Linked DNA regions of Lonchura striata. The protein of the gene in region 2 purifies or fractionates together with the protein of the main gene of each other region. This does not show direct contact. Links are inferred from orthologs where the notes say so. Each region holds a gene or a part of one and is shown on either strand. Other genes may lie near its edges. The genes, in order: ATP6V1A, ATP6AP2, VMA22 and V-type proton ATPase subunit S1.

The links.
Region 1: the proteins of ATP6AP2 (region 2) and ATP6V1A purify together in Homo sapiens (co-immunoprecipitation; 3 studies listed by BioGRID and IntAct, with this or other methods). This does not show direct contact. The link is inferred for Lonchura striata from reciprocal best matches to the Homo sapiens genes ATP6AP2 and ATP6V1A.
Region 3: the proteins of ATP6AP2 (region 2) and VMA22 purify together in Homo sapiens (affinity purification with mass spectrometry; 3 studies listed by BioGRID and IntAct, counting the BioPlex papers as one, with this or other methods). This does not show direct contact. The link is inferred for Lonchura striata from reciprocal best matches to the Homo sapiens genes ATP6AP2 and VMA22.
Region 4: the proteins of ATP6AP2 (region 2) and V-type proton ATPase subunit S1 purify together in Homo sapiens (affinity purification with mass spectrometry; 5 studies listed by BioGRID and IntAct, counting the BioPlex papers as one, with this or other methods). This does not show direct contact. The link is inferred for Lonchura striata from reciprocal best matches to the Homo sapiens genes ATP6AP2 and ATP6AP1.

The regions. Positions count from the first base shown.
Region 1 is NC_134604.1:28,288,749-28,296,685, reverse strand, and holds the start of ATP6V1A (V-type proton ATPase catalytic subunit A), read right to left. Parts: upstream 3,009-7,937; 5' UTR 2,876-3,008; intron 1-2,875. UniProt on the Homo sapiens protein: Catalytic subunit of the V1 complex of vacuolar(H+)-ATPase (V-ATPase), a multisubunit enzyme composed of a peripheral complex (V1) that hydrolyzes ATP and a membrane integral complex (V0) that translocates protons.
Region 2 is NC_134604.1:109,580,926-109,588,456, reverse strand, and holds the start of ATP6AP2 (renin receptor), read right to left. Parts: upstream 3,008-7,531; 5' UTR 2,997-3,007; coding exon 2,918-2,996; intron 240-2,917; coding exon 109-239; intron 1-108. UniProt on the Homo sapiens protein: Multifunctional protein which functions as a renin, prorenin cellular receptor and is involved in the assembly of the lysosomal proton-transporting V-type ATPase (V-ATPase) and the acidification of the endo-lysosomal system.
Region 3 is NC_134638.1:870,055-877,548, reverse strand, and holds VMA22 (vacuolar ATPase assembly protein VMA22), read right to left. Parts: upstream 3,009-7,494; 5' UTR 2,976-3,008; coding exon 2,969-2,975; coding exon of another isoform or gene 2,960-2,968; intron 2,625-2,959; coding exon 2,524-2,624; intron 2,012-2,523; coding exon 1,908-2,011; intron 1,623-1,907; coding exon 1,531-1,622; intron 1,248-1,530; coding exon 1,119-1,247; intron 936-1,118; coding exon 757-935; 3' UTR 728-756; intron 649-727; 3' UTR 503-648; downstream 1-502. Other genes in the region: U3 small nucleolar ribonucleoprotein IMP4, read left to right, coding at 3,269-3,271, 3,633-3,741, 4,085-4,168, 4,671-4,780, 5,435-5,567, 6,154-6,308, 6,552-6,646, 6,730-6,800 and 1 more. UniProt on the Homo sapiens protein: Accessory component of the proton-transporting vacuolar (V)-ATPase protein pump involved in intracellular iron homeostasis.
Region 4 is NC_134607.1:31,872,617-31,879,519, reverse strand, and holds the start of V-type proton ATPase subunit S1, read right to left. Parts: upstream 3,018-6,903; 5' UTR 2,955-3,017; coding exon 2,860-2,954; intron 1-2,859. UniProt on the Homo sapiens protein: Accessory subunit of the proton-transporting vacuolar (V)-ATPase protein pump, which is required for luminal acidification of secretory vesicles.

The DNA.
Region 1 (7,937 bases), about 81 Mb from region 2:
AACTTGAGAGCTTGACAGACACAGAAGAAATAAATGCTTGGATGAAATAAAGTAACCAACCAAAAAATATTTATAAGTGCAGAACTTAATGCCATGAGAGATGACCAAACCCAAGAATTTGGTATAAGCTTAGCTGTCCACTCACAAAGGGAAAAGTGGAGAGAGAGCATCAAAGACAAGCAAAAAGCTTTTTATACCATAAAAGATACAACAATGACAAACAGAAGATCCAGTCAAAACCAGTTTTGCATGTTGGAGATTTAGGTGATTATTGGCTTATTCTGTAGGAAAAAAAAAAGGCTGAAAAGTTTAAATTCATTCTGCTTCTTCGGCTGGAGTAGGACCCTGTTTCTCTCTGCCCAGCTGGAAGGCTAAAGAAGTCACATGTTTTAAGATGTTCAGTAAAAATGAATGAGCATGATATTCCAGTTGACTGCATGGTCTGTTTTCATTGGCCAAATTCCAGCCTAAAAAAAAAAAATCATACGGATACCATTGTTCAACAATGCCTCAGTATTTCCAAGTCTGAAATCCCCTATTTTTTAACCTACAAAACAAGCATGGAGAAAAGAATATATTTCAGGCAATGTAGCATTGGGTTGCTGCATGGTTTGCATTTTGTAGGGTTTTCTTAAAAAGAGAAAAAAACAGAGGTATTACTACTTGCTCAGACGTAGCATTCAACATTTTATGGTCAACATTAAAGTAACCAAAGAGCTCAACGAGATTATCTTGCAATCCTTTTACTCTTTCTAAAAGAGTAATTAGGAATGCAGCCATAGCTCATAAACATGCAATTTCAAAGCAAGAGGGAAACCCATCAGTAGGAACTTTCAGGGCTTGAGAACCCAAAGACAACCATTATGGCATGAAATCACAAGGGGGAATGCACAGTGCCTCTAAAAGGATCTTCAGGGGAATCATCTGGTAACCTGCTGGTCTATAGGAGCTTTGGATGACAATGTGTAACACCAGCACCATGCAAGTCTGGGAGATAAATGCATGAAGTCATCCTGGGAAAAAAATTTAGATAACAGAAGGACACTTAAGGCCCACAGCCTTCATAAATGAGGGCAAATGAGGCATAAAACTGTTAATACACACTTAGACCAAAACAAAAGCTAAATTTAAGCTAATGCTCTATAAAAATGAAGCTACACTAACCACTCATGGCTCAACCCTATTAGCACTACCTGTAGAAAATAATTCTTGATTTGGAAAACCACAAGGCAGTATTTACGGGAAACAGAGATCTTGTGTTACTATTGCAACACAAGACTGCAACCCCCCTTTGAACAGTCAGCTGATGCCAGCAGCCATTTTCCACTGTTGCCTTAATTTGTCCTTCCCTGTTCTCTCAAGCTGATGTCCATGGTGATTTAGTACTTCTCAATGTCAGACTTTGCCACCTGATCATAAAATTAAGACTAATTTTTTCCCCACATGAAAGAATAAAGCTTTTCCAGAGGATTTTGCATTACAGACTGACAGGCACAGCAAAAATAATCTGCAGTACTTTTGGTAATTCAAAGACCTGTAGATTCTGATCTCACTTCACATATTCTTACATAGAAAATAATAAAACGTAGATATTGTTACATGTTTATATTTGCTGGTCATTGAAAAGGCCTTGAAAGCACAGAGAAGCCAAACATTCAGCTGCTGCAGATCTGCACAGTGCAGAAGTCAGTATAAATACAGCACAACTTACAACATAGTGAAGATCTGCCTCAGTTACTCAAACTTCCACTTGCAAATGCCAGCTTGTATTTCGCATGTTCTTCCTAATAAATCACTTCTAGCAGTCTATCAGCAGGTTTTCCTATTTTTCCACCCCCTCTCCACTTCAGCAAGCAGAATTAGCATTTAAAATACCGTGCTAGATCAAATAGCCAGTGTACTTTGCTGAAGTATTGCATTACAATGAATAAAATGATCACCAAATTGCTTTTATGCCCAGCAGAAGAGCAAATTCTATGAGAAAAGACAGTAAAATTTCAGGAAGGAAGACTTCACTTTCTCCTAAGAAAGTAAATTACTTTGGGCAGCTGCACGGAATGGATGGATCCTGACACAAGTGTCACATACTCCAATGTGACAGCTACCTGTCACATGAACAATATCATCCAGAATCCAGCTGTGTAAGATTTTTCTCTTGCCTTTAAGTGAATGCCAAGGGTGATGTCTGAAACACCTCATCTGAGGCAAAATTTTGTCACTGGCTACAGGAATAGGAAGCACATCTGATGTGCCACCAAGATATTCAACTGCAAAGCAACAACAGGGGGGTTCTTCTGCCACGGATGGCTGCAGGGAGAAGCCCGCAGCGGAATTCCTCTTCCATAACCGCGCTGCTCTCTCTCTGCTGCGCTGCGGTCAAGGCACCGAAAGATTCAGATCCACCCACTCAAGATGGTGGGATGACCTGGCGCTGGAACCCAGCCGCTATCGCCCTGTCTCTTTTCGGTAAGGGATTCTGGCATAACCCTAAAGCATCTCACTGGGTGTCTTCGATCGAGCGCTCGGACGGTTTTTCCTTGAGGGGCTGCCTCGCTCTGCAGCTCTGCGCTCCCTGCGAAGCGGGGCCGGGAAGCGCACGGCCGGCTCCCTGCGGGCCGTGCCGCCGGGACACGGCTCCCTGCGGCCCGGCCGCCCCCCTCCCGGCTCCCGCCGCTCCGCAGCGCCGGGGCCGCGCTCCCCCTGCGAGCGGCTCCGCAGGGAGACCGCGTCCTTCCCGGGCAGGGTGCGAGCGGGGCGGAGAGCGGCGACAGCCGACCCCCCGCTCCTTTACCGCAGAGAAGGGCAGCCCCGGGCGCAGCTCGGGAGCGGCGGAGGCAGCGGTGCGAGGCAGGGGGAGAGGGGTCGGGCGTCTCACCTGGGCCGGCCCGGCGCGCCCGAATCCGCCCGAGTCCCTCCGCCGGCGGCAAAGGAGGCGCTGGATCAGCTGACGCCGGGCCCCGCGCGCATGCGCTGCGCCGCACACCGGAAGCGCCGGGCGCGAGCCCTGCCCGACTCCGGGCGGAGCTTCGCCCGCCCTGCCGGGGCCGCTGCCGCGCAGGAGCGCGCCGGGCGCGGTGGGGCGCGCCGATTGGTGGTTCCGTGTCACGTGACAGCGAGCACGCCCCGTCCCCGAGACGAGCGGGGCCTCCCCATCCTCTCCCCGCCCCGCCGGGCGCGGCGCGTGCGCGGCGGGGGCGCGCGGGAGGGGCGGGGCGGTCATGGCGGGCGGGGCGGGGACGCGCGCGCGGCGTGAGGTGAGGGGTCACGGGGCGGGGCGGGGCGGGAGGAGGCCCATGTGGAGCGGGAGCGGGATTGGGATCGGGAGGAGACTGAGCTGCCCGCGCTGAGCACGGGGAGGCCGGAGCCACACCCGCACCGCCGGGCCCTGGACGCAGCCAGCGCGGACGCCGGGCAGGCCGCGGACGCACCATGAAGGGGTGAGTGCGGGGCTCGGCCCGGGCCGGGCCCGCCCGGGAGGGGAGCTGGGAGCGGGGCGGGCCCGGGCGGCGCGGCGGGCGGAGAGGGCCGAGCGGTGCAGCCGCCTCGGAGCTCGGGGGGGTGTTGCTGCGTCCCTCCCGCCCTCTGGGACAGGGCCCGTGGCCCGGCGTCCCTCCGGGGAGAAAAGGCGGCGGTGTCGCCGCTGGCGCCCTTTGGGCTGAGCAGGAGCCGCCCGTCAGGATGGTGCCGCCGCCGGAGCGAGGATTCTCCGCGCTGAGCCCGCGCTGGAGCGGGCGGGACGCGGCGGCTCCTCGTGCTCGGGGGGATCCCGCCCTGCGGGGTCTGGGATCTGCAGAGCGGGCGGGGATGCTGGCCGGGCTGTCCTCCCTGGCTGCTCCTTGTCTGGCGGTAGCAAAGAAGCGCCGCTCACTGTGTGCGAAAAAGCTGACAGCCTCGGGTGTGTGTGGTTTTGCAGCGCTATTGTGTGTAACATCCTCTTAGCACTTTTGTTGGTTTTTTAAGTCTTGAATTGCTGCGTGGAGGTTGTAGAGCGTAGATGGATGACAAACGAGCTGTGTCCTGTGTCATGTTCCTGTAGCACACCCGCTGCTTTGGGTCTGGCATCGCTTCTTTCTGTCTCCTGAAAACTAGAGATTTCAAATCTGGGTGGCTGAAAATACTGATTTCCTTCTCAGTGGGGGCAGTGAGGTGCCGTTTCTGTACAGGAGACCGGAGGCCTTTACACTCACAGTTGTGCTTTGGTGTCAGATGACCTGCCTGACCTTGTCCAGGTCACTTTGGGACAGGTTTTTCAATGTTGGCTAAGCCACCTAATGTTTATTAATTTCAGCATCATTTGTGCACCACAAAACGTGCTTGTTCCAGTTCTGTGCCTCAGTTTCTTCACAGGCACAAAGGAAGCTGTCCTCAGCTGATTCTCAAAAGAGCATTAAACCGTCCCCTTGGAACTGGTGTTATGCAATGATGGGTATTATTATTCCAGTTTGGCAGCTTAAGGCAGGGTGAATGGAAGCTGAATCACTTAAGCTTTTACTAAGAAATGGTAAGGGGTTTAGCTTATTAGCAGTAGGGGTGAGGTCATACAAGTCTGCTTGATAACAGACTCTTGGCTGGTTTTTACAGCGTGTAAGCAGCTTCAGGCATCCTGAGGGGCTGGCAGGTGTCTGTAGAAAGAGGTTCAGGGATGACTGCAAATAAACAAACTCTCAGCTGACATAAGATAGGTGTGTTTGGGATATTGGACAAACCTTTATCCACCTGCACCACCCTACATAAAAAGGGACACCCCCACTCTTAGTCCCCTTGTAATGAGGACGCCGGAGTTTGCGGGAAGAGCAGCAGCACGGATCAGCCAGGATGAGGTGGCAGTTGATGCGATCGTTGTTCAGCAGCGCTCCCGACAGAACTGGGTTTCCTTTTATCCTTTGTTGACCGTTCTGCTGTTTGCTAACAGCTTAGCCTTGCTTTGCTCGTGTGTCAGTGATGGGATGGGGTTACTGGGACCTGGATGTGTGAGTGGGAAAGCGGCCCAGGCGTGCCAGGCTGGTGCTGTGGGGATCTCCTAGCAGGGCATGGCTGGAGCTGTCTGTCGTGCTCAGTGCTCCCTGAGGAACTGAGCCTGGTTTTGCTTGCACTGATCAGGAGTTCTCATTTCATGGACTTTTTTACTTCTTGTAACTTTTTTTTTTTTTTTTTTAAATAAAAGGCTATGGAGAAAAAACCTGCATACCACTCTTCTGCTTCCAGAGCACCCAACTTTATTTCTGTCACTTTACTTTTACTTACAGACAGCTTTGTTTCTGGTTCAACTTTAGGGCTTATTGCTTTGGGTTCTGTACTTGGTATTTCTGCTTATGGTACTCTTTCATCTCTTTGAAGAACAGCATATTCCTGTCTTGCCAAAACACTGTTAGCACCACACAGAAAGTTCTGGTGCAGAATAAATTCATATTCCTGTGCAGATCCTCATATTGAATCCAGGTGTTCTCTAAAAATTCAGATGGAGGCAAATATGCCGACAGAGCTCAGATTGAAAAATATCCCCATTTAAATACAATGAGAATCAAAGAAGTAGAGAATAGTTCAAAAGGAATGTATAAATTACACAGGGGTACTTTGGAAAAGATCTAAATTGTTTTTTAAGTTACAAGGATCGGTGAAGATCCCTAAAGTACAAGTACTGTCAAAGGATGGGTCCAAAAATAGATCTAAAGCTCCAGCTCCCAGCATATAGAAACTGATGTGCTTGAAGGGATCTGGTCTGTCTTCAGTACTGAATCCAAAATTGTGGACAAGTCCCTCTGAACAAACTGATGCCCTGTGACTGTTTTTTCTGGGAATATATGCACTGCATTGTTACCCACACCACCAAATGCAGAGGTGATTTTGGAAGCACTTAGAGCAGCTGATGTTTTATCAGCTGTCATTATGAAGAGTCTACTTTGGCAAAGAATTAAAAAAAGAAACTATCTGATTCATTGGCATGAAATTTCAGATCTGAAAGACCCTGTAGTCAATGTATGTGTCTTGCAGCCTTCTTTCTTAGCTCTCTGAATTCAAAATAGCACATAGATGTGTGTTAATAGTGCATAGCAGGTTGTAGGGTCTGTGTCATCAGGGTATTTCAGGTTAGGTGACCTCTTCTACCCTGGCCCTCTGGTTTCAGAAATAGCAGAAGATTTTTGTGATTTCTCAGCTGCTTACAATTTTGTGGATTTTCTCTTATTTGATGAGTTAAACACCATCTTCTCAACTGGGAACTGCTATTAGCTTTCACCTGGTTTTGTGAGACTTGGCTTTATGTTCACTCTATCCTCACCTTCTGAATAATTTTAATAGAGTCTCATTATGTTTCCCTTTTTTTCTTAAATGTGACTTGAAAAACTGAGGTAATTCACTGTTCTGTTAGTGAATCTTGTGATTCTGTAGAGATTAATTTATTTTTTAATTTATTATATGTTATTGTTGTTAGTTCTTGAATTTGAAAATCTATTTTAGAACTGTGTTTGCATGAGGAAAAATACCAGTGGAAGAGACTCGGGTTCCACTGTCTGTAGTAATCTGGCTGTTTTTATATAGCAGATGTAAATAATCCTCCCTGCACTTTGTTGTATTCATGGTGTTGATTCACTTGTTGCTCAGTGGTTTTGTGTTTTCATTACCAGTTGTTATGCTACTGGTTTTCAGGAGAGAAAACTCAAAGTCTTGCACTGATTCTTGAGCATTTGCCGATTGCTGTTCATGACATTTGCTGTCTTAAAAGTAAGGGTGCATTTCTAATTTGTTTTAGTTCAGATGAAACCTATGAAAGTAAGGTATCCAGCCTTTCCCTGATGGCCTTACCTAAAAATCACATTACACAAGGCTATTGCAGGACCTGCATGCTCCATTGCGTGCATGTACCTGCGGTGTGACCAGGATTGTCACATACATGGAGCCGGTAGGGCATGTTACAAGCAGGGCCCAGTGCCTGGGCTCCTGTGCATGTGCTGTTTTGTCACATTAACATCTCCAGTTTTGATATGAAACACCTGGGAGATTGTCATGCAGCAGCACATCTTGAGCCATGGGGTGGAGAACTGATTGAAGCAGGGACTAAGTAGAGCGCTGTGTGTTAAACCAGCCTTAGAAAGAAGTGTGCACTAAATTGGGTAGGACTCTCCTAGGAGATTGCCTCTCAACTTTGTCGTGTTTGCAGCTAAGTCTCAGGTTTTGTAGTTTCTAAGGGTCCTTATGACTTGCTGTGGAAGAGTCCTACAGGCTGTATTCTACACAACAGGTACTTGCTGCCTCCTAACCCTGAGACTTTGCAGGCTTGTGCTGCTCTGGCTGCCTTGCAGGAGAGACATCACAGCTGGGGAGTACTGAATAGAACAGAAAAATAACTATGTTGTTTCTGAAAGTGTGGGGAGTTGTTAAGGTAAGCTCTGATACCTCTGCTTGTTTTGCCTGGGTTCAAGGAGTAAACCTTTCAAGGTCCTGAAGATGATCATGTTTCTGAGGAGAACAGGGAGGGTTTTTTCTCTCCTGAGTTAGAATGACAGAGTTTGTGCAGAGCTGCTGAATTGTTTCCATTTGCTCGGCACAGTGCTAAGCTTAACATATATGGGAGGAAGTTCCAAGTTTATGAGAAAACTGCTGAATGGTCATATGCACTGGAGTCAGGACAAAAAAGGTAATTGAGCTTGAAAATCACTTTATTTTTAGGCTTTTTCTGAACCTAGAAATGTCCAAGTGTGAGCTAAAGTCTGCATTTATTTTCATGGACGGTAAATTTAGACCTTGCCTATATGCCAGCTTACAAATGGCTTAACAGCTTCTAAATGAGTTTATAAAAAAATCAGTTCAGTTTATTATAGGTACTTTAACCTGATTTATAACTCTGACCACTTTGAGTTTAATTCCATAACCAGATTAAGACATTCCACAAAGTAGGAAGGATTGGGAGGGTAAGAAGGTAGTAGAGGAGTTGTAACCAT
Region 2 (7,531 bases):
AAACAGGACAATGTTTTATATATTCCAGCACATGACAGGAAGATTTGCATCTTGAGTGAGCAGGTCTGCAGCTCTAGAGGCATTTCACAACCAAGACCTGGAACGTACTTCTTCAACAGAAAAGCCCATGGTCAGTGCAGCAACATCTGGGATCCGCTCGCCCGGGATCGGCCAACTTCCATCTCGGAAAATGACCGACTGAGGGGATCGCAAGACACTGAACTCGCCACCACAGACACCTAAAAACAGACATAAAAAGCTGTCAGAGCTCCTGCAAGCTCTTCCTTTACCTAAGGATCATATTTGACCTTTCATCCCTTCTTCCTCCCTCCCATGCCTATCAGTTTATGGAAAGCCAGGAATGAGAACGGCTCATTTGAATGCTCAGGAATACAAAATAAGGTTTCCATACAGCAATGACGAAGAATGAACAGATCCATATTAACAAAAGCAGGACAATTATTCAAACAACAGCAGAGCACAGTTCTGTGTAACAACTTACAAGCAGTCTCACAGTTCAGACCTGGTAAAGTGAACTCTCCATGGAGCCAGGCAGACTCCAAAATCCTGTTAAGCCCACAAAGCACCAACACAGCTCTGTTTGCTTCCACAACTGCTTGGCACAACACCTCTGCTCATGCAGGCAACAGCCAGAGTCACTGAGCCCAAAGCCAGGAAGTCCAGTGGAATTTGTCAGTGCTGGCTTAAACCAGGTAGTGCCAAGATAACCTGGCTCCTGCAGAACAGCTCTGGTGTCCCTCCTCTACATCCTCCACCTCATGACACCGTGAGATGTTTGTCTTCCCTGGATGCAGCACTGGACCTGAGCTGATTGTGAGGAGCCACAACCTACAACACTGGGTTTCCACTCCTCTAGGATGCCCCTTCACTCTCTTCCCCATTACCTTGCACAGCAAAGTTCACTAAAAGCATATTTCTAAACTGTTCTATGATAACAGCAATTTACTGCATCATAAAGTCAGAAAGGACTCCACAGAAATAAGATAAGGGCTTGTTCCAACCTGGCTTCCTATCTTAAAGTCACTTAGGCATGGCTGCAATACACCAAAATTTATCTAAATAAATTTTGAAACTTCTTTGGTGTATATAAGCAGTAACATGCACCATGCACAAAATTTCAGGCATATGCTCCCCAGTCAGCAATTTGAGTAGGTTGCCACCAGAAAACTGATTTGATACAAGAAAATCGAGCAATAGAGTAATAACTATTTGCAGGCCTGTATGTTCAAGTACAATGAATCTGACTGCATACCTCAAAATTACATGACTAAGATAACTGTCTAAAGGAAAGAGAAGTATTTATTCATATGATCACTGAAAATTGGTTACCAATCCAAGCAGTGATATAAAAGTTTTCCAGGGCATCTACAAATCTAAAGGCTATTTACAAAAACAATGCAACAGTAAACTGATGTGTTGTACAGCTAAAAACTTCCCTAATATTAAATTAACTAATGTGACCTTGAAGATGCTGTTCCAAAGCCTGGCTCATGCATATAAATGTTGACAGTAAATCTGAGCTATGTTATGATAAACACACCAAAGGACAAAGTTCTGAGATGCAGGCTGCAAAGGGGGGCAAAAGGAAGGAAAGAGGACAAACCGAGTGATATTCATGGAGTAGATTCAAGAATTTATTTAAATTTATGTGTTCCTTGGGTGCCTGCTACCAATTTTAATGGTGGCTCAACCCACATTTTGAAGGGCAGGAATGTTTCCAGACCAATTTCTTTAAGTAAGAATTTACAAAATGGCTACAAATCCATAGGATTTCACATGCTGCTCTCCACAAGGCTGCTACAGTCACATTACTTAGGGCAAACTAGCTTACCTAGGACAATATTGCTCAGGTGGATAAAATCAGAGCATTAACCCTTCACAACTGAATTTCCCTCACTAGACTTGTTTCAAGATTACAACTATTAAAACTAAATTTGTAATTGGGAACACCAGCAGATTCCCTCCAATTGTCTATGGAATAGCAAACCTAATTCCTACACTGCCAAAGCTGTACCTCAGGTTCTCAAAAGCCTTTATGAACCTGGAAGGCTAAAGAACATTGAGTAGGAAATATTTACAGGGCCTGGAAGTGCCATCACGAGCTTGACTCAGAGGGGGTAACAGTGACCACAGAAACACCTCAGCAAAACGTGAAAATTCATATAAAATAACAAAATCATGTGTGTCTATCACAGAACCATCAGAGTTGGAAGAGACTTATAAGACTATGGAGTCCAACTATCAACCCAGTAGTGCCAGGTCCAGATGCCTCTTCAACACCTCCAGGGATGGTGACCCCATCACCTCCCTGGCCAACCTATTCCAATGCCTCACTCTGGCAGGGAAAAAGTGTTTCTGGTCTCTGATCTGAATCCCTCTGTCTCAGCTTACAGAATTGGATTTTCATGTAATTTGTACACCTTATAAATTAATTTAATTAAGTAACACACTACATATAATTATACATATGCATTATAAAAATACACTAAATACTGTCAAAACTTATGTAATAATTTAGTGTCATAATTACAAAATTAATTTTATATAACGAATTTACACAATAAAATCATAGAAACGTATAATTTAGTATAAAGCAGCCCTTGTATTGAAAGGGACCGGATAAAAGGGTTCGAGCACCGTCTCTGGAGGTGGATGGGGGTGGGGCAGGGAGCTGCAGCACAGTGACAGCCCCTCACTGGCACCCCTCGGTCCCGAACCTGGCACCCACAGACACAGAGAGCCCCCTCAGCGCCACCCCTCGGTCCTGAACCTGGCACCCACAGAGAGCCCCCCTCACCCTTCCCCTCACCTTTCCCTCCCCAGCACCGCGGCCCGGCCGCTTTCCCGCAATCTCCCCCTGCAGACAGCCCTCCCCGGCCCGTCCCCGCTCACCCACCGGCGACCCAGGCCGCTGCCAGCAGCGCCGCCAGCCGCAGGCCCCGGCCGGCCCCGCCGCGCCGCCCCATGACCGCCATCAGCCGCCGCCGCCGCGCCGCCGACAGCACCCCGCCCGCCGCCTGACGGACAGCCACAACAGCCAATCGTCGAGCGGGATGCACGATGAGTGGGCGGGACTCGGCAGAGCGGACCAATCGCCGGAGCGGAGCAGTCAGCTGTCCAGCTGAGGGCGGAGTCTCTGTTTGAGTGGCGTTCTCGCTTGGCCAATCAGATTGCCAGAGGTCCTGCACCATTTTCCTCCCCGCGCTGTAAACCCAGAGGCAGCGGTGAGGAGGCGGAGCCAAGTGTCAGCGTATTCAGCCAATCGGAGAGCGAGGAGTAGGGGTTGGCTCCGCCCACTCCGTAAGCCTGACAGCGAGGGGCGGGGCAACGCTGTGACTGACAGTCGAGTGCACCAATCAGAGAGCGAGGGCGGCTGTGACGGGACCGTGGGCCGTGAGGGGCTCCTCCTGTTCCTGGGGTTGTCCTCGTCCTTCCCCTTGTGTAAAACGCCAGTCACTTGGCTTTTAAAATTTTTAATCGTTTAATAATAATGAAATGGTTCTAAAAATAGTAATACAATTAATGTAATTAAATTTAGAGTTAGGACAGTTACAAGACAATAAAAAGCAAAGAATTACGGATGTCCGGATGCTCTTGGACACTAAGTCACGAAAAGGATCCCTTGTGAGCAAAGGAGTAACCTTAAAAGCAATAGCCTGCTGCATATATCTCATGCATGATACATAAATTCCTTGCAAATTAAGAACTTTTCTGGTTTTTGTCAACTTCTTCTTAATCCTGTTGGTTCCACAAAGACGGAGAGAAGGTGGAGGAACATTTGTCTTTTCTGATAAGGAGGCTGTAACTTTTTATGGGCCCCCTTCGCTGATATCTCTGTGAAGAGTTTCTTGATTATCTCATCTTCCTGCTTGAGCTTGTAACAAATACTATATCGCAGAGTTTCTATTTTAACATTATGTTGTAACTTAAAACTACATTTAACACACTACTTACAAGAATTAATACAGCATAACTTTCTAACATTACACATATAATATTCATTGTAATATTTGCAAAAAGCCAATCATAAAATGTGCATTTTTCACACCCTTGTCTATGCCCCCACCATCAGTGGTTTCTTCCTTAAATTTTGCAGAGAAAGAATATCCACAAATTCAGTGACTGCCCCAGCCATGCTCATCTCACTTCTGGTGTGTGATAGAACAGGCAGGTGGGGCACTGTGGTTAGTGTATGTTTAATATTCCTGTAATATGGGTATTCCTGTAATATGCCATGATCATCACAATCAAGGGAGGAGGTCCTGCTCCTCAGCCCTGTGAGGATCACCTGGAGTGCTGTGCCCAGCTCTGGGCTCCTCAGGACAGGACAGACTCGGAGCTGGAGCGGGTCCAGTGGAGGGTGACAAAGATGATGGAGGGACTGGAGCGTCCCAGTGAGGAAAGGCTGAGGGAGCTGGGCCTGTCCAGCCTCGAGAAGAGAGGGCAGAGAGGGGCCTCATCCCTGTCTGCCAGTGTCTGCAGGGAGGGTCAGGGGATGGACCAGGCTCTGCTCCGTGGGGTGGTGGGACAAGAGGCAACAGGCAGATTGATGCACAAAGTTCCGCCTGAACGTGAGGAAGAATTTCTCTCCTGTGCAGTGACTGAGCACTGAACTGATTGTCCAGAGAAGGCATGGAGTCTCCCTCACTGGAGATACTCCAGACACATCTGGACACAGTCCTGGGGGCCATGTGCTGTGGGATGGCCCCTCTTGACCAGAGAGGTTGGACCAAATGACCCATAGTGGTCCCTTCCAGCCTGACCCATTCTGTGATTCTGTGAAGTTCTGAGTATGCCTTGGGGTCTTTGTACATTTTTAGGCTCCAGGATTTTGATTAAGCTCTCTGCAAGTAAAGGCAGACAAAACCAGGCTTTGAGGGTGAATTACCATGTAGGAGGTTAAGGCCTCCCAGTGCATTGGAAGTAAAACTGTGTTATGAGCACTTCAAATTAATACTCACTCGTTCCTTACTCTGTATCATGCATCACAAAGCCAGAAGCACATAACAGCTTTTGTGAAATAAATGGAAATAAATGCTTGATATTATCTGATTCACAATAGTTGTTTTCTGGTGGGCTTTTTTGTCCTGGATTCCTTGGGAAGCATTGTGTATGAGTTTACACTAAATGCAGAAGTGCTAGGGAATGTTTTATCTGCTTTGCTGGGAGACAGCACCTATGCCACATCCACGTGGTAAGACAGTATTTATGCGCAGAACATGCCAAGGATTACTACCCATACAACTATTTGGGCAGAGGTATCCTTCTGTGTTTTTAGAAATTCCAGCCAACTATAGAAACACTTTGAAAATGTGCCTGAGCAATATTTCTTCACTGGGAAAAAAAAAAGTTGTCTAGAAGAATGAGTGAGTGGGCACAGGAATGCAGGTAGTAAAATGAAAGTGTGTTTACAGCAAACAGTATTTAAGAAAGTAAAGTTATATCCTTGTCACTACCACATGTTAGTATGTGACAATTGGCTAATCATTTAAACTCAGCTTTTCATAGGTGGCAATAACAATTCCTCCCTTGTCTTTGAGTTGTTTTGCATAAATTAGGAGGAGCTCCTGCTCATCCTGCTGCCAGATAGAAACTACATTTTGAATATGAAAATCATGCCAGATGCATAGGGTACTCTAAAACTCAGCAGCCGAGCAAGTTATGAGCACTTCAAATTAATACCCACTCATTTCTTACTCTGTATTGTGTGCCACAAAACCTGCACTGTATAATAGCTTTTGTGAAATAAATGCAAAAAAAGGTTTGTGAGATTACCTGAATACTGTGGCAAAGATATGATCAAAATAGTTGTTTCCTGATGGGCTTTTCTGCTTTCAGAGCAGGATTAGAAAAACACATGGGAGAGAAGGCCTGGATCAGTGAACAACAAAGATATTGAATGATTGCTTTTCAGTGAGCCCAGCTGGTTTGTGCAGTGAGCAAGGCATGATGATTTTGAAATTCTGTATTGTGAACTGATAATGCTGCCACAACAGGTAAGCCCATGGATTAAAGTTCTGTGGGTTACCTTATTTTTGGCATTTGCTGTCCCTTGGGCACTTGGCTTTGCAAGTGTAGTGTGCCATTTACTGCATATGTTTTAGCATAATTTCACAAATTTTTGCCTGTCTAGGAAAACATGGTTCCTGCACCTTGTAGTCTGAAGTACAGATGAACTGCAGGTATGCTTACCTTATCCTCCCTTCAGATTGTGTATACACCCAAAAGGTGCATAGAAATAAGGCAAGAAGAGTGACCCAAAGCAGTAAGTTTCTGAAACTACTAGAGGGCATTGGGTGGGTGTGGTTCTGTCTTAGATGAAAACGTAGTGGGAACCAAAGAACAGGAAAAGGATCCTATGAGGGAACAAGTTTCTTCATCTAAACTAAGGATTTCTTACAAATGTGATGTGGAAAAAAAGGTACCAGAGTGAATAAGACTGTTTTGAGAAAGTTATTTCTCTTATAACTGTTACTATCTCTATGTTTCTTATCTGTGCATGTTAGCAATAATTTCAATTTTTAAAACTAATTTCTTGGCACTCTTTTGCATAAAGCATTCACTCTGAAAGTCATACAACAACAAAAGAGTATAATGTTATTTTTTTCACAGTTGCAGAAGGAATTGTATTTTTGAGACTTTAGCTTTCACATTCTCATTTTCTTTTTCTGAACTTGTGGTGCTAGGAATACTATAATGTAATTCTAGAAATAGAAGAGAAATCAGAGTTCTGTATTTGAAGAGTCTTATATTCCTTCTCTGCTTCTCAAATTGCTGTTCTTGAAATCACAGTGCAAACATGGTTTCTGAATTCTCCATCTTATGTTTTCCTGTTCTCATCTTGGTTTCTTCTTTGGGAAAAATAATAAATAGAAGCAATAAATTTTATTATGAAACAGTCAAGTCTCACAAACTCTGTACTGGTTTCTAGTGCCCACTGGGTATATCTGTGTGTCAGTGAAGCCCAATATAAGAGAATAATACCATCACTTTGTAGGCTGGCACAGTTCTAGCTATTTTCTCTAGGCTTAATTTAGATCCCAGCTGTGCTTTGAAGAGAGTGAGTTTTGTAATCCTGTAAGCAATACTTGTGACAAAAATCTACATGCAGTAAAATTATTCTATTTAAACTGATTTCATTTTGAGCTTCTGCTCAGGGCAAGTGAAAAAATGAGACAACATGCACATTAGGTCAGAAATAATTTTTATAAAGCCATATAGTGCTAGTAGCAGTCACAAAATCAACGTGCCAGCTGTAGGCAAAATACCAGCATTCCCTGGCTGTTTTAGGAGTGTGCTGTGCAGAAATGTCTTCAGCAGGAATTGCTCACGTGGCACTTGGATGCTGCCTTTGCCTCCAGCCCTGTCTGTACCAACAGCGTTATGGGTGAAATGATGGTAGAAGAGGGAATATGAGGAAAAGGCTGAGTCAAAGAGCCCACCATTGGTCTAAACTGGACTGCTGTGTTCATTGTGTTACTACTAAACCCAGGCTGGTTGCTAGCAAAGT
Region 3 (7,494 bases), on a different chromosome or scaffold from region 2:
TCCTGTGGTGGCAATGCCGTGGTTGGCATGTGACAGCGGTGACAGTGTTCCCTGTGGTGGCAATGACATGGCTGGCACGTGACAGCAGTGACAGTGCTCCCTATGGTGGCACCAACTCCTGTGGTGGCAATGCCGTGGTTGGCATGTGACAGCGGTGACAGCGGTGGCAGTGCTCCCTGTGGTGGCAATGTCATGGCTGGCATGTGACAGTGGTGGCAGTGCTCCCTGTGGTGGCAATGGCATGGCTGTATGTGACAGCGGTGACAATGTTCTCTATGGTAGTAATGCCATTGCTGGCATGTGACAGCGATGACAGTAGTGACAGTGCTCCCTGTGGTGGCACCAACTCCTATGGTGGCAATGCTGTGGCTGGCATGTGACAGCAGTGACAATGTTCCCTATGGTGGCAATGACATGACTGGCATGTGGCAGTGGTGACAAATGAGCCCATGGTGGCACTGGCACAGCTGGCACCTGACAGCAGTGACAAATGACCCTGTGGTGGCACCAGGGTGGCTTTATTGGAGGTGGGGACATGGGGGGACCCCTCTTAGTCACGTGAGGGGCTCGGTGTCACCTGCAGAGTCCTCAGTGTCACCCACAGGCAGGTGCTGCTGTCCTCTGTGTCCCTGGTGGCAGCTGTGTCACCTGTGAAGGGTCAGCACAGCCCCATGTCACCTGTGTCCCCATGGTGTCACCTGTGCTCCCGTGTGTCCCCGTGTGTCACCTGCAGATACGTCCTCGTTGTTCTCGGTGTCACGCAGTCACTGAGGTCACTGTGTCACCCTCGGTGTCCTTGCTGTCCCCAGGGGTTCCCGTGGGGCTCTGGCTGTCCCTGGCCAGGTGACGTTTCTGCCGCAGGAGTTGCCGGTACCGGGCGGCCGCAGCTTCCACGGTGGCCTGGAGCTCGGCCACCTCCACGGCCAGCGTCACCCCTGGGGACAGGGGGACATCGGGGGGACCAAGGAGGTCATGGGGGCTGTGACCTTTAGACCTCCCCAGTTTTGGGGACACCACAGATTTGGGGTGTTCCCCCAATTCTTGGGCCACTCTGGGTTTGGGGACCTTTGGTGCTTTCTGGGGATCCCCCAGTTCCCCCCAGTCCCCCCCATCCTCACCCCTCTGGAAGCTGCCCTGGGCCTGCCGCAGAGTGGGGGGCACCAGGACCCCAAACCAGCCCAGGGGGTCTGTGGGGGGCCGGCTGGGGACCCCCCCTTTCTCAGGGGCTCCCCGGCGCTGCCGCAGCCCTGGGGGAGAGACAAAGGTCAGAGGAACCCCCCACCAAAAACAACTGAGTAACCCCCACCAAACACCCACAGGACCCCTCAGAACTCCCCAGCACCCACAGGACCCCTCAGAACCGCACCCCCCCAGCACCCCAAATTCTCCCCCCAGCCCCCATGGGTGACATCCCCAGGACCTCCAATCTGTCCCCAGCACCCACTGGGGACCTGGGGACCCCAACACCCACAGGACCCCTCCCCAAGGGACCCCAGAACCCCCCCAGGGACCACCCAGCCCCCCTCTCACCGTCACCCCCCCCCTGCTGGGGGTCGGGGTCCTCGGGGTCCCCCCCTGTTCCTGGCACCTCCTCAAAGTGGGGGCGTCCCTCTGGGTCCTGCCTGGGGGTGACACAGTGGGGACAGTGTCACCACCGTGCCCTGGTGTCCCTTGGCCACCACAGGGACATCCCAAGCATCCCCAGTCACCCCCCACACTGGGGACATCAGTGTCACCCCTGTGTCACCTCCCCAAACTGGGGACACCCCAATGTCCTCATGTCCCTCCCTGTGTCTCTGTCCCCTCCCTGAATGTCCCCAATGTCCTCATATCCCTCCCTGTGTCCCTGCCACCCCCCACTGAGTGTCCCCCAATGTCCCAGTGTCCCTGTCCCCTCTGTCCCCCACCTGTGGCACACACGGACTCGGGGCACCATGGTGGCCCCATACTGCAGGGACGAGACGCGGTGACAGCCCAGGGAGTAACGGGCCTGAGCCAGGGACAGCCACCCCTGCGGGGACATCGGGGACATTGGGGACACAGCGGGGGGACATTCACCCCTGTGGGGTCATCGGGGACATTGGGGACACAGCGGGGGGACATTCACCCCTGTGGGGTCATCGGGGACGCTGGGGACACAGCGGGGGCACAGCCACCCCTGTGGGAACATCAGGGACATCGGGGTCACAGCAGGGGGACAGCCACCCCTTGAAGGGGACACAGGGACATGGCACTAGGGACAGTCACCCGGGGGGACACAGGTGCCACCCTGGCATGTCCCTTTGTGTCCCCACAGTGGGTGACATGTCCCCCACAGGATGTCCCAGGACGGGTGGTGTGTCCCCAGGCACGTCCCCACAGCAGGGAAGTGTCCCCAGCTGTGTCCCCATGGGGCTGGCACACCCCTGTGGCAGGTGGCACCTGCCCGGTGTGTCCCTGTGGCAGGTGGCACCTCCTCGCACGTGTCCCCACGAGGGGTGGCGTGTCCCCCTGTGTCCCTGCCGTGTTCCCGTGTCCCCTCACCTGCCGCAGGTGCTGCTCCAGCTGCTCCCGCCGCTGCTGCAGCAGCTCCAGCGCCTCCATCACCTCCAGCGCGGCCTCGTCCAGCGACAGCGACAGCGACCCTGCGGTTGTGGGGGGGGACACGGCTCAGGACCCCAACCAACACCCGGGGGGACACCTGCGGCTCCCCCAGACCCACCAGAACCGCTCCCCCCCGCCCGGGGACCGGCCCGGAGTCCCCGCGGTGCCACCCGCGTCCCGGGACCCCCCAGGCCCTCACAGACCCCACCAAAACTCCCCCAGGGCCCCGGAAACCCGCTCACAAAACCCTCGGGATCCCTGAGACCCCCCCCAAAACGTTCCCGGTCTCCTGGAGACCCCCAGAAAAGCCCCCGAGACCCCCACCGAACATCCCCGGGACCCCCAGAGATCCCCAAACCCCGCGGAGCCCCCAGACCTCCCTCACCGTCCATCGCCGCCCTCACCGCGGCCTCAGGCCTGGCCCCGCCTCGTCCAATCGCAGCCCGCCCCGACACTTCTCGACCAATCAGCGAGCGCAGCACGCCGGAGGGCGGGGCCTGCGTGAGGCCCGGCACAGCAGCGGGGTGAAGCCCACCCGGCCGCCATCTCGAGTGAGGGCGCGGCGTTTTCCGCCCCTTTCCGGCAGCACCGCGCGCTCCCATTGGACCAGCAGCGCTCGGCCAATGGGAAGCGGTGGTACTGGGAGGTGCCGGCGTGTGAGGAGCGGCGCGGAGCCATCGCGACCATGGTGAGGGGCGCGGGGTTGGGTCGGTGGTCCCGTGTCCCCCCATGTCCCCGCCTGTACCCCACCCTCATGGTGCCTCTGGCCTCCCTCCGTGTCTCCCATGCTCTCATTTCCATGCCCCTCACAACGAGCCCTCCCCCCTGCCCAGTGTCCCCATGTCCCCCCTCACGCGTCCCTCACTCCGTGTCCGCTGTCCCCTGATTCCCCCTGATGATGTCCCCGCTGTCCCCCGCTGTCCCCCATCCCTCGGCCCCTCGGCTCCCCCGCCGTGCCCCCCACCCTCTCATGTCCCCCTCACCGGGCCCGTCCCCGCACCCCGCCGGTGTCCCCGCCGGTGTCACCTCCGCCTGTCCCCGCGTGGCAGCTGCGGCGCCAGGCCCGGGAGCGCCGGGAGTACCTGCAGCGCCGGGCCAGGGAGCAGCAGCAGCAGCGGCAGCGGGAGCGCAGGGAGAGCCTGCGGCGGGCGCTCGACGGTACCGGGGCACGGGGAGGGGGAACAGAGGGGCTGGGAGGGGGGCAAAGGGACCGGGGAGAATTTGGGGGGCTTACAGGGGGCTGGGGGGGAGTTAAGAAGAGATCCCGGATGTGTGAAAAGGGGGCTGGGGGCGGCAGAGGAGATTTGGAGGAGGTGAGGAGAGTTTTGGGGGGATACAGAGGACTTTAAGGGGGTTGGGGGATGTTTGGGGTTGTTAAAGAGGAGCTAAGAGGGGACATGGGGGTGCTGCAGGCCCGGGGGGTTATGTGGGGCTGGGGTATTGGAATGGGGAGGGTTGGGGGTCCTGTCTGAGCCCCCCCGTTTCTCTCCCCCCTCCCCAGAGAATCGGCTGCTGCCCACGGAGCTGCGGCGCGAGGCGCTGGCCCTGCAGAAGGAGCTCGAGTTCGACTTCCAGGCACCGGGGGGTGAGAGGGACCCCGAAACTGGGGGAGAGGGACCCCCAAACTGGGGGAGAGGGACCCCCAAATCAGGATGGGAGGGTAGAGGGAGGGGACCCCCAAGTTGGAGGTGATTGGAATTTCCAAATGCAGGGGTGGGGGACAGGCAAGACCCTTGAATGGTGGTCTAGACCCCAAAGTGGGGAGAAGGGAATCTTGAGGCAGGAGGGAGGCAGCCCCAAAAAATACCTAAAAAAAGAGACTGATCTCATTTTTAGAAGTTTCCCCAAATTCCCTGTGGGTTTCTAAGTTTCCCACATAAGATTAAATTCACCGCAAAATGAGTGTGAGGTTGCACCAACACCCACAGTCTGGGCTGCACCCCAAATCTGAGCCTTCTTTTCCCAAAATGGCAATTAACCCCATGTCCCCCCAAAATCCCCCCGGAACCCCGACTCTGAACTGACCCCGATGACCCTGGGGTGGGTGTGGCTGCAGGGGGTGTGGCCTGACAAAGCCCCGCCCCCAGAGACAGGTGACAGCCAGGATGATGAGTACAGGTGGGCGGGGCTGGAGCCCCCCAAGGTGATGGTGACCACCTCCCGAGACCCCAGCGCCCGCCTGCGGCTCTTCGCCAAGGTGGGCATGGCCGGGTTTGGGTGTGGTCTGTGGTGGGTGGGGCTGGGTTTGGGTGGGGCTCTGTTGTGGGTGGAGCCAGGTTTGGGTGTGGTCTGGGGTGGGTGGGGCTCTGGGGTGGGTGGGGCCATATTTGGGTGTGGTCTGGGTGGGCGTGGTCATGTTTGGGTGTGGTCTGAGGTGGGTGGAGCTGGTTTTGGGTGTGGTCTGGGGTGGGTGGGGCCATGTTTGGGTGTGGTCTGGGGTGGGTGGGGCCATGTTTGGGTGTGGTCTCGGGTGGGTGGGGCCAGGTTTGGGTGTGGTCTCGGGTGGGTGGGGCCAGGTTTGGGGTCAGTGGGGCTTTGGGCTGAGTTTGGGTGTGGCTCTGAGGTGGGCCAGGGGATGGGTGTGTCATTGTCACCCTGTGCTAGGGTGACAGACTTGGGGACATGTGGGGGTGATCTGGGGGACATGGGGGAGGTGATGTGGGGGACACTGGGACGTGATTTGGGGGATACAGGGAGTAATGATTTGGGGGATTTGGGGGGTTATCTGGGGGACATGGGGGCAGTGATTTGGGGGACACATGGACGCTGTAATGGCACAAGCGGGGGGACGCTGGGTGAAGGGGTGACACGGGCAGGGCGTGGCTCAGTGTCCCCGTGTCCCCGTCCCCAGGAGCTGTGCCTGCTGCTGCCGGGGGCTCGCCGCATGAACCGGGGCCGTGCCGAGCTGGGCGCTCTGGTGGGCGCGTGCCGGGCCGCGGGGGTCACCGACCTGCTGGTGCTGCACGAGACCCGCGGGCGGCCCGGTCAGTGCCAGGCGGGGCTGCTGGAGGGGCTGGGGTCACCTTTTGGGGTCTCTGCTTGGAGGGGAGGGGCTGAGGGTGATGCCCTGGGAAGGCTGAGCTAGAGCAGAGCTAGACAAAATTAATTAATAAAGCAGGGATTTATTAAAAGGATCTCCGCAATGGATCCACCTTGGGCTGCACCCAAATGAACCAAAATGGTCACGAAATGGATAACCATTCACAGGGTCTTACACTTTTATTAGTTTTGGTCTATTTGTATATTTGAGCTAATTGTCCAATTTTAGCTTTAACCCATTAAGTCCCATCCTTCTTTTCCTCTCTCCAGCCCACATTGTTTATATTTTGGTACTGAGATTTGGATCATTGTCCTTGGTGCCCAGCTGGAGAAGGAATTGTTTTGTCTCCCTGCTCTGTGCAGAGAGCTCACCACCCCATAATACGCAGCCCAAACCCACACACTAAAGCAGCACAAAATGTGAAAAATAGAAAATCCAAAACCTGAGGTGTCAGGGGGGTGGGTGGGGCTAATCCCAAGGGGGTGTGGCCTGTTTTTGGGTGTGTCCTGACCAAGCCCCACACCCCCTAGACGGGCTGACCGTGTCCCACCTGCCCCACGGCCCCACTGCCCACTTCACCCTGAGCGGGGCCGTGCTGCGCCAGGAGGTTGGGGGGCTCGGGGGGGCCCCGCTGGCCGCCCCCCACCTGCTGCTGCTGCGCCTGGATTCCACCCTGGGAAAAAGGGTATGGTCGGGGGGGCGTGGGGAACGTGGGGGGGACAGGAGGGGACATGGGGGGCACACACCTGGGGGGATGGGAGGCATGGAGAATATGGGGAGGACATGGGGGACACACAGCTGGGGGATATGAGGGGATACAGAGGGGAATTTGGGGTACATGGGGGAGGAAATGGGGACACTGGGGAGGAGCACGGGAGGTCCCAGGGCTGGGGTGACCCTGTCCCCGTCCCTGTCCCCATCCCATTAGGTCGGGACCATCCTGAAGCACCTGTTCCCTGTTCCCCGTCCCGACAGCCGCCGCGTGGTGACCTTCGCCAACGAGGATGATGTCATTTTAGTGCGGTGGGTGACACGTGGGGACACGGGGACATGGACAGACCCCCCCCCCCCACCTCCGAGCCCCTCTGACCCCCCACTCCCCACAGGAACCACGTGTACCGGCGCCGGGGACGGACGGTGGAGCTGGAGGAGGTGGGACCCCGCTTCCAGCTGAGGCGTGAGTGTCCCCTGCTGTCCCCAACAGCCCTAAAAGTCCCCCTGGTGTCCCCAAATGTCCCAACAAACCCCCCTGTGTCCCCCCCCAGCCTACCTGATCCGCCTGGGCACCCTGGAGCAGGGGGACGCGGCCGACGTGGAGTGGCGCTGGCACCCATACACGGCCACGGCCCCCAAGCGCCGCCTGCTCAGCGCCACCTGAGCCCCCCAGCACCCCCCGACCACCGGGAGAGCCCCCCAGGTGGGGCCCACCTGCACACCTGAGACCACCTTGGCAGCTGGGACCCCTCTGGACTCCCCCAGGAACAGCCGGGTCTCTCACAATCACTTTTTATTTGTCATAATAAATGATTTTTTTTCTATATTGGGCTCGGTAAGGATCAGCCGGGTTCTGCTGCAGCCCCTCCTCTGTGGTGGGGAGGGGGCCCAGGGATCCGGACCCCCCCTCACACCCGGGACCACTCGGCTGGGGGGTCCCGCGGGCCCTTGGGCTTCCCAATGCGGAAGTTAAACCCTGGGGGGAGGAGCAGGAGGTCAGTAAGGGGTGGGCTGGACATTGATGCCCCCCCGAACCCCCAAACCCTTTCCAGACACCGAGACCCCCCCCAGGACACCAGGGACCTCCCCCCCATGCTCACCCAGGCAGGGGCCGCTGCCAGTGTCCGTGGGGGGGGTCACAACCTCATAGGCGCCAT
Region 4 (6,903 bases), on a different chromosome or scaffold from region 2:
ACAGAAACAAAGAATTCAATATTTCCTGTATCTGGAGCCACCAGGAGGGCTGATGGGAAGACAAGACTTCTAGCAGTCTAACTCATGATCTTATATATTTGCTTTGTAGCTGGCTTCAGACCTCTTTCCTACAAGTTATTCTTGTCAGTTCTTATTCTTGTCTATTCTTATTAAGTCTTCCCTAATAGTGACCTTGTGATTTCCATCTAAGAAATCATGTTTTCCCCATACTCAGGAGAAGTAAAATAGCATTCATGCTGGCACACAGTGTCTTCATAGGCATCCAATAAAATTATAGCTAAAAAAATTAATTTCCTTTCTATGTTACACCTTTTTTTCAGTAGATTTATCAGTAAAGTCCCTGTAGTTTAGGAAACAGTGCAAATGTACTAATTGGCATTAACACCTTCTCAAAGTCACTTATAACCTGGGTTTGCCAGAAAAGGATTATTTTCCCTATATAAGCATAGCATAAAAAAAGGAAGTAATATATTTTAAAAGACTGTAGGCAAAAATCATTCCTAAAACAAACACATGAGGGGGAAATCACAAAAGCTAATTTTAATTAATTTATTTGCTCAAACATCTCTTTATGTGTGGAGAGAAATAAATTCTTCAGAATATTAGTTCAAAATGGCTAAATCAAATTTGTTCTGTGTATCATATGCAAGAAGAGCCTCTCAGCTTTCCCTGCTTCAAAAACCCAACCAAGGAAAATTAGTTTAAAGACTGATGTAAAATAAAGGTCAAATTTTCCACACCAAAGTTATTTGAAGAACATCCAGTGATATATTCTTTTGTGAAAAACTGGACAGTGTGACATACTGAGTTATTCCCTAGTTGAATTGAGAAAGAATGCTGTTTTTTTAAAAAAACACTTTTCTCCAAGTAGGGATCTGCATTTTACTTTCTAGAGGAAAGAGGTATTTGATTTCCTAATGTCTCTGTGACAACTGATATCACACTTCCCATTGTGCACTGCATGTGTTTGTCAGCTGCAGGTTTCACTCTATCTGGCATTTAACATTATCTTTAATAGCATGAATATAGCATAGTAAAAATGCATAAAAGACTTTAAAGTGTTACATTCTCTAATACACCTGTCCTGAGATATGGCTTGGCAAACACTGGCTAGTTCTAAATTAGAACAAAATGTAGTATCCTTCAATTATTCAATTTCAAATCCTAACAGATAACCTGGGAAAGGGTGAAGGGATAGATCAGTGAATCACAACTTCTGTTGATTAATGAATCACTAAACGTTTATACTGGTGGGACATGTTCCTACAGAGTGAACAGATATCCATAGATATCCATAATTACTGCAATTCTGTAGTTAACTTTCCTAAGACTATTAATAATAATTTCCAAATTAGGCCTGTGGATGACACGCTGCAAACCTTGCATCACTGTGAAGTACCAAATGTAAAGCACAGAGTTAGGGGTTAGCAAGAGGAAGTTGTTGTAAGTGCTACTTTGTTTTATAAAATAACGAAAAACTTTTCACTTGCTTCACAGACCTTCCCCAGAACTAATTTTGGCCCCACAAGAACTTCTCCTTTCAAAATGCAAATGTCATGGTTGGAGGAACACTTCTTCCAGAAAAGGTTCTATTCTTGGAGACATGAAACTGTTTACTCAGTCTAGTATCCTGATTTTCTTGCTCTGGATTTGTATAAACCAGAAAAATCTGCAGTAGAAAAAGCTGCTAATTGCATCTTGATGGAAAGTTTGCTTTTATGACCACATGGAATTAAGTGATAAGATCTTGTTTATATATAAAGCAAGTATGTTTTTTATATAAACCAGGAAGTAGGACAAAGGCAGCACTGGTCTTTTCTTAGATGCTTAGAATCAATTTTAACATAAGAACAGTGCTTTCCAACATTTACTTTGCTTTTAAATGCTTTAAATGCTTTGCAGCGGTATTACACAAGGCTAATACACTCATATGAGTGCCTGTCTCACATAGTGGTGAATCACTAAGTATTTTGAATATAAAATTGCCTTGATGTTGAAACTTTTTTTTTTTTTCTTTTAGGGAGAGAAAATAAAGGAAAAGCTATAAAATCAAACTTTTTCAAAACATGGAGATTTCCATATGCAGAGTTTCAGGTTTTGAAAATCCATAAAAGATGAGTAAACATATAGCAAAGCTGGTTAATAAGTGGCCTATTTTTCTGACAACTTTACATATTGAATATCCCCCTGAAACTACTGCATTGCCCAACCTGCCATATTTCTGGAAATCCCAAGTAATGGTACAACATCCTTAAAGTGATAATGAATAAAATTCCTGGTTGGAAAGAAAGAGGTCTGTACCTGATACTTTCAAAGCTTCAAAGTCCTATTTCATACATATATGCAAACCCCTGAATTTCTCTGGATCTGTCAAGACTGCAGTTGTTGCTAACAACTGATGCACATACATACAGCAATCTACTTAAGAACCTGTATTTAAAAGAACATTAAAGTGAAAAGTCAGGGTTCAGAAGTTAGGAAATCCAAGGCTTAAAAAAACTGCCTTTTTTGGTCAGCTCCTTTTTGTGTCACCGCCTTATGTTGTGGCTTTAACTCACAACATCTCTAACAGTGGAATTCAAAGATGCTTTAGGGTTAATAAAGCACTTCTACTTCAGTTTAGTTTACAGAGTTTATTTACTTCTTTCTGCTGAGCTTAGAACACTGAAGTTATAAATAAAAATGGGTAAAAGAATATGTTGGCTTGTTTGATGGCCATGGCGCAAATAATTGTATTGCCCAGGGCTGATTTACCATATTCGATGGCACAATATATTCTGTGCAGGCGCGCCCAGAGCAGGAGCATAAGCAGGGATCCACTCTGATTCGATTTCTTACCTCTGAGTCGACCAAAGCAGCATCGGCACATGGTGCAGGGCCAGGGCGGCTGGGAGCAGCAGGGCGAGGGCGCGGAGCGGCAGGGCCGGAGCCATGGCCGGGCGGAGGGACCGCGCGGGCGGGAGCGCCGCGCTGCGCCGCGCCTGACGCTGCTCCCGGCAGCACGGCAATTGTCACTGCATCGACTTCCTTCCCCGGGGCTTGGGAGCGACTCTTGTTTTTAATGCTTGCACGTTTGTGATTTAAACAGCTCGTAAAGCACTCTGCTGTGGAAACATTGTCAGTTTCCTCTAACCTTCAAGTGCAAGGGAGAGCCATGAAGTCCAAACTCCTGTCCTATGCGGGCTGATAACAGTTATATAACTTCAAAATGGAGTTTACAGGAAACTTTTCTGTACTGCACAAACTATATTCTGCAGAACTTCTATCTTCGTCCCCTGCTATATATTATTATGTCCCTCAGCTTATTTTTTTCACATGTTTGAGATCTGGCGTCACACATTTGGGTGTTGACAGGTTTGAAATCTGCAACAAACTTGCAGATTTCAGCAAGAAGGAAGAGAGAGAGAAAATGGCACGTTCAGAGCCACTGAAACACAATTGTTAAGCTATCTTTTGCATGGAGCAATGCTGTCCCAGAAATCAAAAATATGTCACGTCAAGGGCAAATTATAATCACTTCAGAACGTGACACAACTTCAGTATTTCACAAGTCTCATGCAAGAACAAAATAGTCTTAGAGAATTCTTTCATGCCCGGAAGCAAATTGCTCTGGCACGCTTTTTTGTGCCTGCCAAACACTGAGCAGTTTCTACACCTTGTGACTACATAAGGCAGCAGCAGCCTCAGCACATGTTTGGCTCTGGGCACAAATGCCTCATCAGAACAGGAAGTTAGAGATCGTACACAAAAGAAGTTTTGAGCCATGTTAAAACAAGTTGTGTTAAGGGAAAAATAAGGAAGCACAATGAAAACTGTACAAGACGACACAGAGGTCAGAAGACATGTCTAAATCTGAGCACAGCCAGATTAGTTAAATCCATTTGCCTTGAATCACAGTATGTAGTTATAGTGCGGTTGCCTAATATAAGGCAATTTGTTCATCAAATCACCCTGAAATCTGATTTCTCAGAAAAAGAGTAATTTTAAGGGTAGCAATAAAACATTTTCATGTTCCTTTTCTTCTCCACGTTACCTTTACATAACAAAGAATTTAACTCTTTACTTTTTCCTCTTCTCGGAGATGTATTAGAAATCCTATCTGTTCCCTTTAACATGCCAGTGTTTGTCTGTTTGAGTGTGTACAGGTAAGACAGCAAACCTCAAAGACAGAAGTAGAAACAGAAGCACCTAGACAGAATAAAGGAATTGCAGAACTTCCAAAAAAACCTAATTTTGCAGAAGGACAATATTCGACACACTAACCAATTCGGAGACTGTTACAAAAGTGTCACCCTAGGCCCTACATCAGATGCACAAATATTTTGCAAGTCTGATCACATTCAGAAGAGACAGCTGGGTTCACAAATCCATGGTTTATTGAATGTAGTTTCTTTGGGATTGCTGGTGACAAAAGCAGCTGCTGCAAAATATATTGCATTAACAATATAACTACAATCACAAGTTTAATTTCCTGCATCAATACTCAGCATAACTGATGACCTAAGACTTACCAAAAGGCATCCTTTTTGTGGAGAACAAGAAAGTCAAGCCTGTCAGTATGTCCCTTAAAATTTTGTGTCAAATTCTCATCCTCCATTAAGATACAAAATTGAGATACATTTTATACCTTATTAACCACTATTGTGCAAAGCGCTGTTGGTGGGACTGTGGTCAAACCTTCCACTCTGTGCAGTTGCAATGTATGGAATATTTCCTGTAGGAGATGTTTGGTTTGTACAAAACATTTCTGGGCAACAAGTGGAACACAACCACATGGTCTCTACCCTCACTTCCCGTTCCTCCCCATGGCCGTAGCAGCACAAAGCACAGACTCCTCCTGGAGTACATCACATCCGGAGCTTTGCCTTCTCTTCACTGCTGTGAGCTTCCAACACACACAAGTGAGATGCACAGTTGGTGGGAATACCCTGTATTCTGCCTTACAGAAACAGTCTTAAAACTTTTTGAAACATAACCAGATTGTTTTCTCTCAGATTACCGTATCACTTATGAACAAACTTTTAACTGAAAACAAACTGACTCTTCCTTTTTAATATTTTGCCACAAACCACAGTTTGGGAACAACTGAAGTTATAAAAGCTTTGAAAAAAAAAAAAAAAAAAGGAGTAAGAAGAGCCTATTGAGTGGGATTTCAATTTGCTTCACTAAGTAAATTTAGCTCCAAAATATATCTGCATATATTTTCTCCTTTTTTCTTCACTCCTAAAAATGGTGGTTTTTTGGACACTGATTTGAAGGATGACATTAGTTAGAAGATGCTTATTTTGCATGCTTTGGAAAAGCATGTTCCAAATATTAGTCAAGCATTCAACTCACTATACTTCCAGAGCAATTTTTTAACTATTTACACAAAAGTGTCCACAATGTGACTAAAGGGCACTGCTAGGAAAGAACTCATGGTGGTGGTGAATGGAGTTCACATCGATCTGGCACACAGTCACCAGTGGTGCTCCCCAGGGCTCAGTACTGGGGCCAGTACTGATTCATGTCTTTACCAATGATCTGGATGAGAGATCTGTTGTTTAAGGGTGAAGAAAGAGATTGAGGTGCTGGACCATGTCCAGAGAAGGGCAGTGAAGCTAGTGAAGAATCTAGAGAGACAAGAGAAGATGGCCTCAAGTTGCACCAGAAGAGATTTATGTTGGATAATAGGAAAAAATTCTCCACTGAAAGGGTAGTGAAGCTGTGGAAGAAGCTGCCAGAGGAGTCATGGAGTCACCACACTTGGAGGTATTTAAAAGCTATGTAGATGTAGAAATTAGAGACAGAGTTTAATGGTGGACTTGGCAGTATCAGGTTAATAGTTGGACTTGATCTTAAAGGTCCTCACAACCTAAATGACTCTAGGGTTCCAGAAACCTCCAACACTGCATTGCACTGAAATCAATGGACTATTGGCTTTTCACATTTGTTTGAACTATTTCCTTACTTTTTATTTAAATAATCCTTCTGGACTTGTAAATTACCTTTTCAAAAATATGTTTAAGAAGGAAGGAAAAAATTATAAAGAGGCAGATTCCTATCTATGCAACTCATTGCTATTCAACCCATAATTTACTTCAAAACGCCTTTTATCACTCTGGGGGAAATTCAGACTTAGCAACCATTCCTATCTTAAGGCTCAGATGTCAGAAAGAATGTAAGTCATCAGCTGGAATGCTCATGTGCTGCAATTCTACAATTAGTTCAGTACTGAACTACAATCCAGAACTTAATTAAACTAAAATTCTGAATTTAATGGTAAAATCAGTGGAAAGATTCCAACAATGTTAAAATGCACTTATCAGCCAGGTACCAGTTCTACAGTTCATGTTCTGTTAAGGGAGTCAATTTAGTTTTCAGCTGTTTGCTGTCAAATATGTACTTATTTCTCTTTGTAAATGCTACTGCTTTTTCCTAGGTAGTTTCATCTGTTAGAGCAAAAGGCTGGGTTAAAGCCACATCTTAAAATAGAGGTTTCAAGAAGAACCTTGCAATCTTCTGTTGGATTTTTGAATTTACACCCTATCATGTTTTCTCTGTAACTATGATCTAATATAAACTTTCTTAATTATGGGGAGAATTTACTTCTTCAAATAATACAAACTCCTCAAAAATAAACATATTTCAAATATCTGAAATGCATATTTCAAATTATGATATTTAAATTATAATACTTACAATAATTTCAACATCCGATACAATAATTATATGCTGGCAGTTCCACTATGACCATCTAGATGAGCTACAAAATGTAAAGTTGTTCTTTTGACAAATGTTTGCAGGCAAAGCAGCTACATCTGGGTAAGCTATGTATATTCTATTGTTCTGTAAGAATCCAGGGTTTGAGGGGGTTTCTGCCTTATGTGTTTAAGATAAGAA